3 linked regions of the Nothobranchius furzeri genome follow. The protein of the gene in region 3 interacts with the protein of the main gene of each other region in a pairwise test. Links are inferred from orthologs where the notes say so. Each region holds a gene or a part of one and is shown on either strand. Other genes may lie near its edges.

Evidence for each region.
Region 1: the proteins of atpaf2 (region 3) and lrrfip2 interact in binary tests that used the Homo sapiens proteins (3 or more experiments, as listed by UniProt). The two-hybrid records come from large-scale screens. The link is inferred for Nothobranchius furzeri from reciprocal best matches to the Homo sapiens genes ATPAF2 and LRRFIP2.
Region 2: the proteins of atpaf2 (region 3) and ebf1a interact in binary tests that used the Homo sapiens proteins (3 or more experiments, as listed by UniProt). The two-hybrid records come from large-scale screens. The link is inferred for Nothobranchius furzeri from reciprocal best matches to the Homo sapiens genes ATPAF2 and EBF1.

The regions. Positions count from the first base shown.
Region 1 is NC_091752.1:5,388,267-5,392,004, reverse strand, and holds the start of lrrfip2 (leucine-rich repeat flightless-interacting protein 2), read right to left. Parts: upstream 2,816-3,738; 5' UTR 2,628-2,815; intron 1,502-2,627; 5' UTR 1,462-1,501; coding exon 1,372-1,461; intron 1-1,371. UniProt on the Homo sapiens protein: May function as activator of the canonical Wnt signaling pathway, in association with DVL3, upstream of CTNNB1/beta-catenin.
Region 2 is NC_091742.1:46,498,537-46,502,289, reverse strand, and holds the start of ebf1a (transcription factor COE1-A), read left to right. Parts: upstream 1-1,130; 5' UTR 1,131-1,256; coding exon 1,257-1,390; intron 1,391-2,073; coding exon 2,074-2,230; intron 2,231-3,065; coding exon 3,066-3,129; intron 3,130-3,588; coding exon 3,589-3,644; intron 3,645-3,753. UniProt on the Homo sapiens protein: Key pioneer transcription factor of B-cell specification and commitment. Recognizes variations of the palindromic sequence 5'-ATTCCCNNGGGAATT-3'.
Region 3 is NC_091756.1:29,843,694-29,847,446, forward strand, and holds the start of atpaf2 (ATP synthase mitochondrial F1 complex assembly factor 2), read right to left. Parts: upstream 2,397-3,753; 5' UTR 2,184-2,396; coding exon 2,066-2,183; intron 1,982-2,065; coding exon 1,937-1,981; intron 1,852-1,936; coding exon 1,703-1,851; intron 1,258-1,702; coding exon 1,160-1,257; intron 1-1,159. Other genes in the region: glucose-induced degradation protein 4 homolog, read left to right, coding at 2,762-2,953, 3,250-3,309. UniProt on the Homo sapiens protein: Plays a role in the assembly of the F1 component of the mitochondrial ATP synthase (ATPase).

The sequences.
Region 1 (3,738 bases), on a different chromosome or scaffold from region 3:
TGTAGTGCTACACAATCTTTTCACCACTATACTTGATACAATGATCCCATCCATGTAATCAGTTGGTATCGGTTATTCACCGAGCATGCCAGGCACAGACAGGCTGGCTTTAACTTCTCTTAGCCATGAAGCAGAAGCTGCATTATGAGGATTGGTTTGGGAAGGAAGTGATGCACAAGTTACACTGACCCACTGAACCCATCGCACACGGGATCTAATCTTTCATTTGCTCCACAAAGAGATTCAGATTTAGGACCCGACAGGGAGGGTCAGATGACTCATGTTACTATGATCGGCCAGCACGACTGTTAAGAGAGCTAAGGGGGCCTTGCATTTGCTGTCGAGCAGCTTTACAAAAGGACCATAAATCTATTCACTAACTGATTTAACCAACATTTAGCTGCAATGATCTCAACTGATTTGATGAGACGTGCACGGTTCGTACCAGATTTCTAAATACCTGCCAGTCATGGAAAACCTCAGAAATTTGAATTTTATGTTTAATGGCTACAACAAAAAAAGCTAAGGAACGGATGGCTTGCTGTGGAAGAAAAATGGAATAATCCCAGGGCATGTTGTTACAGGTTTGGTTGCATCTCTCTTCTACCTGGATTTTCTCTCTCAAACAAAAACACTTTCAAACGCTCTGAAGCCTCAGACGGACTTCTTCGACTCATTTGCCCCAAAACAAACATCAAACAGCAAAAACCTGAATATCCACATGAAGATATATTTTGCTGCTCCAGCTTTGACAAAAACAAATGAAATGATTATTTACCCTGAAGCTCTTGTTTTCCATCAAGCCTGTAGACAACCCTCAGAAACAGTCTGATGGGAATTTTGTAGACAAGCCTCAAATCCGACTCATCGAGATAAAATAAGGGTTACAAACTCAGCCGCTTATGTGATATTTATCATCCAAACGTAGTCATTTGTTTGTTTTAGAATTAGGTCACTGTTTGAAGAACACTGGTGTCAAAGTTTTCTTTATATTTATGCATTCTATATTCAATAAATGAGCCCTAATGCATTATAAGGGAATTTGCTTTTTTCCAATACAAGCAATGGAACTCATACAATAAATATTCAAAGATCTGATTATCTTGCATAAAGGCTTTCAAACTGTTAGCATCAGATCAGCCTGCTCGTGTTTCCTTTACTTAAAACGGCGATGGTCCTGCTGCTCACGTTATCAACACACAGAAATGACAAATCAATGTTCAACCTATACCCGAGGTAAAACAAGAACATCAGAGCGGCGTAAAACATTATTTGCTTCAACTCAGGAGCAGAGAGGCTCTTAGAGAACAAGATGCAGATTGATCGGTGTTCTGCATCAAAATGGACTTGTGTGACGAAACATGAACTTACCTCCCGAGCGATACTACTCAAAGCCTCATCTTCTGCTGAGAAGCGATCTTTTAAAGGAGCACGCTTCCTGCCAGTGCCTTGTGTCCCCATGTCAGTGCCGCCACTGGAATGTCACCAATTTAGTGTGAACCTGGAACATCGACAGTTGTGTTTGTAAAAAACGGTGAAGAGCAGATGCTAAAGAAAACAGTTTAAACAGGTCTGGAAACAAACCCAAACACTACAGTAACACTGAGTAAACTGTGTACAGAAGATGGTCGTTCACGAGTGACTATATTGATATGGTTGTGTTTACTTTCTCCCGCTTTTAACTGTGCATGCAACAGCCCACACATTCCCCTGGGCCTCCCATCCATTCCTGCAAAAACAGACAGTCCATCATGTATGAACCCCATTTGGACTCCTGATAAAACAGTTGTGGCTGACAAGAACCAGCTTTAATGTGACATTTAGGATCTGTGCAGCCTCATAAATCAGCCTGTAAACACATTAGGAAAACATAAGTTAATTTAAAACAAACCTATCCACGATTATTATGTGATTAGACTCACTTACATTAAAATATAAATGTGTGAGATTAATATTGTGACTGCAGCTAGTTAGTGCCTTCAAGGCAGACTGTATTTAATAGTCAAATAATCAAGGAGTCCAGATCATTCAAATTGAATATTTAAATTCACAGGTACAAAACTACTAATGTTAATGACAGTTATCTGATCAGGAAATGAAGAAATTAGATCAAGTTTGAAGATGACAAAGATAACACACCTTAAGTCACAACAGTCAGCTGAAACGTTAGCACACACATACACTCAAGCCTAATCAAATGTACCCACCAGCTAATAATGCACAGAAAATAAATTTGATATTGACGACCAATATAAACCACCGTAAGTTACCACAGTAAACGCCATTTGTTGTTACTGGCCAGTTCACTTGCGTTAATGTGAGTAGCCACCTCTTCAGTAAGCTAACTTTGGGAATGCTAACTAGCATTACTTGCTCTCAGAAATGTCATTAAAAGTTTAAACCAATAAACTCATAGCGAGCCATTAATAATTCAAACGCTTAACAAGCCGAGAACTGTCCGTCCTCTTGATGGCAGCTCCGAAAACAACCTTAAGAAGCTTCATGAATCCTAGCTAGATAGTTAGCTAAGTTAGCTAGCGGGGCTAACCTAGACGCTCCTGAGAGACAGCCAGGACAAACTGACTGACTCTCCCGTCATATTTCCAAGACCAAAATGAGCACGTTACCTTTACGACAGTTTTAAAATAATAACACAATCGCGATCCTGTCAAGGTGTTGTCCCTTCAAGAGCAAGTCATTCGATTTCACCCCACAGATTAGTAGTTTTTGTCCACACTGACAGCTGTCATCAGTCCGCCTTTCTTTCCACGGATCTCCACCGTTCTCCACTGTCCACACACTGCTGGGCTGAAAATGCCCCGGATGTTTGGAAAAATTAGGGTGTGATGGTGCCTTCAGGTGCGGTCGGGAAATGTTAACATTATATCCATTTAGGGAAGGATTGTTTTCTACTTAAAAAAACGTATTCAGAAACGTCATGCCTTAGGACATAGAAGCGTTCTCTTGTCACTCTGGCAAAAACAAAGCAGAAACGTGTGATGTAATATTTTAATAACCAGAAAAGTTTCTCTGTCATTCCTTTTCACGATATACCAAATAACTTGTACGGTTAACGCATGAATTGCGCTCATTGTTTTCTTATATACTCATTCATATCTGAAATATGAAAACATTTTGAAATAACAGGAAAAATACAGTGTAAAGTTTTAACTTTTAACATCTATCCATCCACGGATGGAGTTTTTTTGAGGGGGACAGGACGGGAGGACCCCCCCCCCCCCCCCCCCACACACACACACACACACACACACACTTTTTGTCCCCTGCACATTTTACTGTCCAAAAACAATATGCTGCCATATTAAATCAACACTGGTTGAGCTATTGGACCAAGAAGAAAACAACCACTTTCCCATTAGAACCGTCCATAAGCTCACCTATTGGCTCTGCCGATAATTGCTAACGTGTGATTGGCCATTCCTGCCAACTGTGTACTTGTCAGAGCCTCTAGTCTGTAGTTTCACACATACTTACAGTAAAGACCCCACCCCCACCCAGTCTTCATGCCAGTTGTGTCCCCTCCCCCACTTGCAAAGTCAGAACAACGTCCATGCATCTATCTATTTTCTTCCGCTTATCCGGCCGGGTCGTGGGGGCAGCAGCCTAAGTCGAGAGGCCCACACATCCGTCTTCCCAGCCACTTGGGCCAACTCTTCTGAGGGAATCCCAAGGTGTTACCTGGCCAGGGAAGACATAGTCCCTCCAGCGTGTCCTGGG
Region 2 (3,753 bases), on a different chromosome or scaffold from region 3:
TTAATCCCATCTTTCTTGTTTGTTTTAGTTCTTTTCCAGCTCCGTTCTGTTTTTACATTTTTGTTTCTTGGATAGCGGAACGCATCAGTTTAGTGTGTAATCCTCGTGTTTATGTTGGATCCATCACTAAGTTGGTCTGCAATGCGCCTAATCAGAGGGGGAGAATTGCGCCAGGCTTCTTGGTGAGCTGAAACTTTCTTAAGATGATAATCTGTCAGAGCTGACACTGAAGCAACCCTGGATGTTTATTTCTGAGCTAAACGCATGCACACCTGTACGTGTTGCGCAGATTTTCTCAGAAATTTGCTTTTTTATTTATTTTTTGTTTTTAAGGTTTATTCCTGCATAAAACAAGAAAAACAACTAAAACACATTTAGTGATTTTCAGTAAAACATCGTTTACGCCAGGAGTCAGTGCCGTTCACACAAAGTTTAAACCGCTCTCCTTCTGTCCAGAACAGCAGTTTGATGGGGCTGATCCACCCGCTATGACCCGCCGTCAAGCTCAAGCACAGTGCACAGCTTCAGGTTGGAGAGGGGCACGGGGCGGGACGCCGCGCGGGACAGCTGATTGTTCGTGCCATGAACTTGGGTGCGTTTCCGTTTGCTTTTCAGACCACGCCCCCTTCACCTAGTAGTTTTCTCCTGTTAGCATCCCAGAGATGGTCCGGAGAGATTCCTCAGGGAAGAAAAGAGTGCAAATCAGCCGAGCGGGGAGCGCAGAACTGCCTCCTAATTGCGCGTAATCTTCCGTTTCATCCACGAGAGCAGAGGAGGAAGAGCTTGTAAATCAAGACGCGGCGCACAAGGAGCAAAAGACCCGCTTTATCTTCGTCTTCTTGGTCTTTCTGTTGCAATAGAACTCGTCTGACATTTTGCTTGTTTTTGTCGTCAGCTGTTCACCTTGATCCGGAGGACTGTCGCCAACTCAGCGCAGCGCCTCTCATCCTGCGCTCCCCCTTTCATCCTTTCTCACTGCTCTTCCTCTCGTCGAGTCGCTGACATGAGGAGCAGCTAACCTCTGGATGCTGACAGCTCCCCTTTCTTCCTTCCACATGTCGCATCTTTTGTTTACTTTGAGGGGGAAACCGCGCGCGTCTAAACACCAAGCGGTGTAGACCACGCCACTTTGCTCCTGTGACAGCGCTATCAAAGAGGAGGGAAGGCAAAGAAAGAAGAAAAAGGGAAAGGAGGGAGCCAAGGAGAGGAGGATAGAGTGAGTGAGAGAGATAGAGACAGCGGGAAGGTGCGTTTTGATGTTTGGCATCCACGAGAGCATCCAGAGGAGTGGGAGTAGTATGAAAGAGGAGCCCATGGTGGCCGGGATGAACGCGGTTCGGACCTGGATGCAGGGCGCCGGAGTGCTGGACGCCAACACAGCCGCCCAGAGGTGAGCCTGAGGCGGCCTTGGCGCTGCGCTGTCTCCGCTCAGACCGAGGAGAGGAGAGAGCGCGGGGTCTGATCTGGAGTGGTGGATTCACCTGGGGCGCAACGTGTCCCAGAGGACGCATAGCTGGGGGGGGGGTCACCTCTGCTCCGCGCGGCATTTTACTCGACTCGTTCAAACACTATATGTGGTCCGGAGATTTTATTTTATTTGGTTTGATTTCAAACAGGCAAAAGAACCAGAGTTTAAACTGTTTTCAGCTGAGTTTGCGCCTTTTTTGTGTGTTTTGGGGTCTTATGGTGCGAAACTTTTAAAAGTTTGCACACATTGTTCACTTTTAATGTCTAAAGTTAATTTTACAATAAATAAAATGTTAAATTTAGAGGACGCTTTGATGAGCATTAATTTATAGCAACACCCTTTAACAGCAGGCTTTAATATTATAATAATAACTATTATTATTATTATTGTGACTGGTTCAGATTCTGATGGTAACTTTAAATGATTTCGTTGCCTCATAATTAAAAAACATTACCCGCACGTTCAGCAGAATAAACAACAAACTGCGCTGTTGGATCAGACAGTCAGCGCTCAGTTTCAATAATTAAACTGAGTCATTTTTGCACTTTCTGATATCTGAATGTTCCGTGGTTGAGGCCGCTGCTGCCTTGTGCTTCTATCCGCAGCGGAGTGGGTCTCGCTCGGGCTCACTTCGAGAAGCAGCCGCCCTCCAACCTCCGCAAGTCCAACTTCTTCCACTTCGTCCTGGCTCTGTACGACCGGCAGGGCCAGCCGGTGGAGATCGAGAGGACCACCTTCGTGGATTTTGTAGAAAAAGAAAAGGTGAGTTAGGAGCTTTTTTTTTTAATTGATAATTAAAATCACACTGAATGAAAGCTGGTCCTTCTAGCGGCGCATCGACTGGAGCCGAGCCTAGTCGCCGGGGTGATAAATCACCAGACAGCAGGTCCTGAAGGCTTCTCGTGTGATTTTTAAACGCTGCTTCCGGAACAAACCTCTAGTTATTGTTACAGGAACGCTGATTTCCCTGTTAAAATAAAGTAATTTCCACGTAATTTCCTAATTGCATTTATCTTATTTAAAAACTTTAAAACTCACTTTTCGCCTTTGATATTCTTAAAGATCTGCAAATATTAATAATCAACAATTATTATCGATTATTTTAAACAAACATCCAAATAAACTCTTAGATTTTTGTTGATTTAACATCTTCCTTATTTCTGGCATTCGTTTATTGAAATACGTGATTTATTTATTAACGTTTATTTTATTTAATGGCATCTCCATTTGTTCTTCTTCTTTTACTTGCTGCGGTGTGTGAATCTTTCATTTTTGAAGACAATTAAACAAATCGAATTTTTTTTCTAATATCTCAACCACTCAGATCAGGTGTAAAAATGATTATTTAAAATAATTAAACAAACAATCAATGAGTTAAATTTGTTTTCATGTTTTATCAAATTATAAACTGAGACAAACGTGTGTGAGTTTTAACAAAGTTAGAAACAAACCGACGACCTTCTCATTCTGGCTCCATAAACGGCTCAAGTGCTGTGGAGAGGTCAGTATGAAATCTCACATTTATTTTTCTGATGGATCAGAACTGAGGTGAGACGCAGGAGTGTGTGACCGGTTCTGTTCGGGTTCATGTCCACAGGAAACGACGGGAGAAAAGACCAACAATGGGATTCATTACAGACTCCAGCTGCTCTACAGTAACGGTGAGTTTCTGCTGCCGGGCTGTTATTCAGGTGGACTTAGTCCCGAAAATAAGGAGGAAACTTTGGCAAATATATGAAAAATGTCACATTTTAAAACACTTCACCAGTTTAATTAAAAGTGTGTTATTTTAATTCATTCAAGCCTTGAAACACATTAAAACCAAAGCTGTTGTTTCACATGTTAATAATTAAGCAGCTAATTAATTTGTCATCTTATTTTTGAATTAAAATGTAAGACAAATACTTTTTATGAAAATTAAAACATTTTTTAAAGTTTCTGCCAGCTGACAAGTAAAAAAACACTCATAAATGACATAGCTGCCATCAAGCGCCTCACAGGGCAAATCAGAACACACACACACACACACACACACACACACACACACACACACACACACACACACACACACACACACACACACACACACTTTATTTGAACACCTTTCCGTCTCTCTGCAGGGATCCGAACAGAGCAGGACCTGTATGTTCGCCTCATCGACTCCATGACTAAACAGGTAGAGATTCTGCATCTGACTAATCATTAAAAAGTCTTCTGGTCTGAATGTTTTCTCCCCTCCATCACCAACTCCTCCCCCTTGCCCCCCCCCCCCCCCCCATGACTGA
Region 3 (3,753 bases):
GTGTCTTTTCCTAATTCATTTAGATCTGAACTTTCTTGCACCTGGTTTTATGAAGGCTATTTAACACCTGGGGTAAAACTGACAGCATTTCAGGAAAAAGACATCGTCCCTGCAGTCAGACAGGGTGGTGGTAGTGTGATGGTCTGAGGCTGCTTCCTTAGCAAAACATCCTGAAGAAGAATGTCTGACCTTTGACCTTAAACAGGTAATTCATGCTGGAAAACCCTCCAATGTGGCTGATTTCAGTTTCTGTAACGAGCAGCGGGACATAAATCTTTCACAGAGATGTGAAAGCCACATGTGCTTGATGACAGCTGCTGGCTCCAAGGGTCAAATTGGTTTGGAAAGATTTAATTCTTTAATAAATGGAATCACTAATTGAAAAATGCATTTTGCATTTACTACAATAGAAATAATCAGGTGTCCACTTGCTCAACTGGCCTGTGTGCATTCACCTTTGACGGATTATGAAAATCTACTCTGCCATTCATCTGAGCTCAACTGTCTTGTGTTAAAAGCAGTGATGTATAAATATTGGTATAATGACCTTTGATCCTTACTGGATGCTTAGTTTTCCTGGTTTAGTTTCAGTTAGGCCTGGGCGATAATCAAATCATCACCCAGGCCGAATTTGTTGTTGCTGGCGATTAAAGAAAGCAAATCAAATTTTTATGTAATAGCGCCTTTTTGGCCCCCCGGAGCTTCCGTAGCATTAGTTTCACATAACCGCGACAACAACGTCACAGCACGTACACGGATGTGCAACAGCAAGTGACTCCATGGCCACCGGTGAGAGTGGGAAGTTTGTTCCTACGAGAGGAATTAAATCATCCCTTGTATGGAACTGGTTTGGGTTTGCTGCGACGGATGTGGAGCTTGGCACTTTTATTCCAAGAGGGTGATCATTTATTCATTATTCATCTCAGAAATAAGGGTAACATTTCTCTTGCTTGTGATTAAATACAAAACAAAATTGGCTTTAAGTTGCCTTCCATTTGTACTTATTGCTATTCTTAATAATTGAGGGGGAGAGAGAATCGTAAATCAAATTTAAAAAATAAAATCAGAGATTTTATTTTTGGGCTGTATAACCCTGCCGTTGTTTCAGTTATATAAACAAATGTTTTATCTGATATAGATATAAAAATAACAAGTTTACCAAACGGTGTCTGTTTCCAAATACTTCAGAGCAGCAGTGATCATCTGGTCCTTGTTGCGTTGAGTTGGATTGTCCAGAGCTGTGTTGCACAGAGTCGTCTGCAAGAAGTGTTTAGCAAGAACATCAGATCCATGATTCAGTAACTGACAGGACATAGCTATAAGCATGCATACTGTATATAATCCATAAATGGACACCTCACACTCAGCTGGACAACGCATTTCCTGGAATGTACCCTTATTACAGAGGTGAAGTCACTCGTTGTATTTAAAATTTATTTTCTCAATCAATCAATCAATCAAAATGTATTTATGAAGCGCTTTCCATACAAATGCTGCTCAAAGCACTTTACAATATTAAAAACAACCCAGCAGCCAGTTTCCCACCCCTCCCACACAGATTAACATAAGAGATCCCCTTTGTATCTCCGTCCTCCCATCCTCAATCCCGTCCCAAGCAGATGCAAACTCCCGCACACACACGCACACACGTAATAGAGAAAGGGCAGCTGGCTGACAGCTTTATGTGTGCATAGCCAAATACCAGATGCATAGTGTAGAACTTGAGCGTATCCTTCTGAGCATCCCACTCTGTTGCCACAGCGACGGCCAGGGCCTCATTAGGCACTACGAACAGGTTCCCACCTGGAGTTTTCAGTTTCCTTCTGTCAAGGTTTATCTCGTAGAGACCACCTGTACAGATTATTATTGCTATTAATATTTAGCACAACCATAAGACAGAATGATGTAAACACAGGAATGGAACATTTCCTCTTACCTTCACCTTGGGAGATGCTTACATCTTGATAAAACTTCTTCCTCTCTGGTACACAGCACAACATCGCAAAAGAAAACAGGGTTAATGAAATCGTCAGCTAAACGGATTTACTAATATTTTCCGTCTAACCTGATGTGGCGGTGGAATACTTCCGCGTACAACTGGAGTGTTGATGCCTCGGGCACACGTTGTAAAGAGAAATAACACTTCCAAATGGACTCTTGAGTCTAATAAGACTTCTAAACATGGCTCAGCGACTTTGGCGTAAGGCTAATAATAAAACAGAAACAAATCGCAAAGCTTTTTCCCACCGTTTCTCACTTAAAATAGCGCAACATCGTAAACGGAATGACATTTACATCTATCATTTACAGACTGTTTGCAGTTTTAGCATTTGTTCTCGTCTCAAGCTCCGGCGTTTCAAGCACGCTGGCTGACCTTCTTTGCGAGTTGGTTGACAGTGTCGTAAACTGTTTACTTTAGTGGGAAATGTAGTTTTTTTAGGAGCCTCTTAGTCCCTTTGCGCTGCATTACAAAAGGGGGAAAAACTACAACCAAATAGTCACGTAAATCCTTCTGCACGTTCAGCCAATAAGCGTTTAGAATCTTCGTACGGCGAACTCAGTCGACCAATCAGAGAGGTGAATGCTCCTGGCTACAGCACAGCAAGTCCACTTACTTCTCGAGCAGCTTGGTAAACTGTGCTACATTGGAATTAAGTGAAATTTGAATATCGGTGAGCGTATTCAGTAAACATTTAGCTGTTCGAAGAGGCGAACACAGTGTTTTGACCGTGGTTGGTGCTCAGCCAGCGAAGTGGGAGCCATGCCCGTCCCTGCTGGATACATCAGCGACTCACCCGCAGCGGCCTTCACATCCTCGGCCTCACTTATCCCGCCACCCCCTATAAACACTCAGCAGCCCGGCGTCGTCACTTCGCTGCTGTACAGCGGCTCTAAGTTTCGGGGCCACCAGAAAAGCAAAGGGAACTCCTACGATGTGGAGGTTGTCCTGCAGGTAGGAATTGAAGCGTGTATACAGTCATTAATGTGATGTGTCAAACCGACCGTGTGATGATTGACAGCTGAACACTCTGTCCTACCTGAATCAGACCATCATCAGTGTTGTACTTGGTCTCTAGTCAATTTTCACTAAATGCTGCTGAAAAGGTGGACTTTTTGATATGATTTTCAAAGACCAACAGGCTGTTTTAGCATGTTTATGAAACATAATCATGGGATCCATACGAATGTAGATTAAAGCACGTTTATTGCTGACTTGGATGATGAAAATCTTTTTTTTTCTTCTTAAAGCATGTCACAATGGAAGATTCCTACTTGTGTGGCTACCTGAAGATAAAAGGGCTGACAGAGGTGAGCAGGGACACGAAGTGTTTTGTTGCTTAAATTTGATTCATACTGAATTTTCTTGCCTTTAGAAAGAAAACTGTATTTCTGATTTCTCAAAAGGCCTACATCGGTTTAATCCACAATTTTCTAATTCTAGCCCATGCATGTATTTGAAATGAGACTGAAGAACTTCACCTATTAAAACTGTATTATTTCAGTTTCGCATCCTTTAAATGGCAAAGATCAGTGAGATGCAGAATATACAGATAAATAAACAAGTGCTAGATGGCTGCTTCCTGATGGAGCAAATCATTGCCATAACACTTCTAGTCTGTATGTAGTTCTCTTGAGTCTTACCTCTGCATCAGGTTTGTCTAGATTAATTGTTAACAGAAAACTATATTTTTATAAGTGTAAAGGTTACACGTAGAAGAGTGGAAGAGTCAGGATATTTTCCTGGCGGAATAA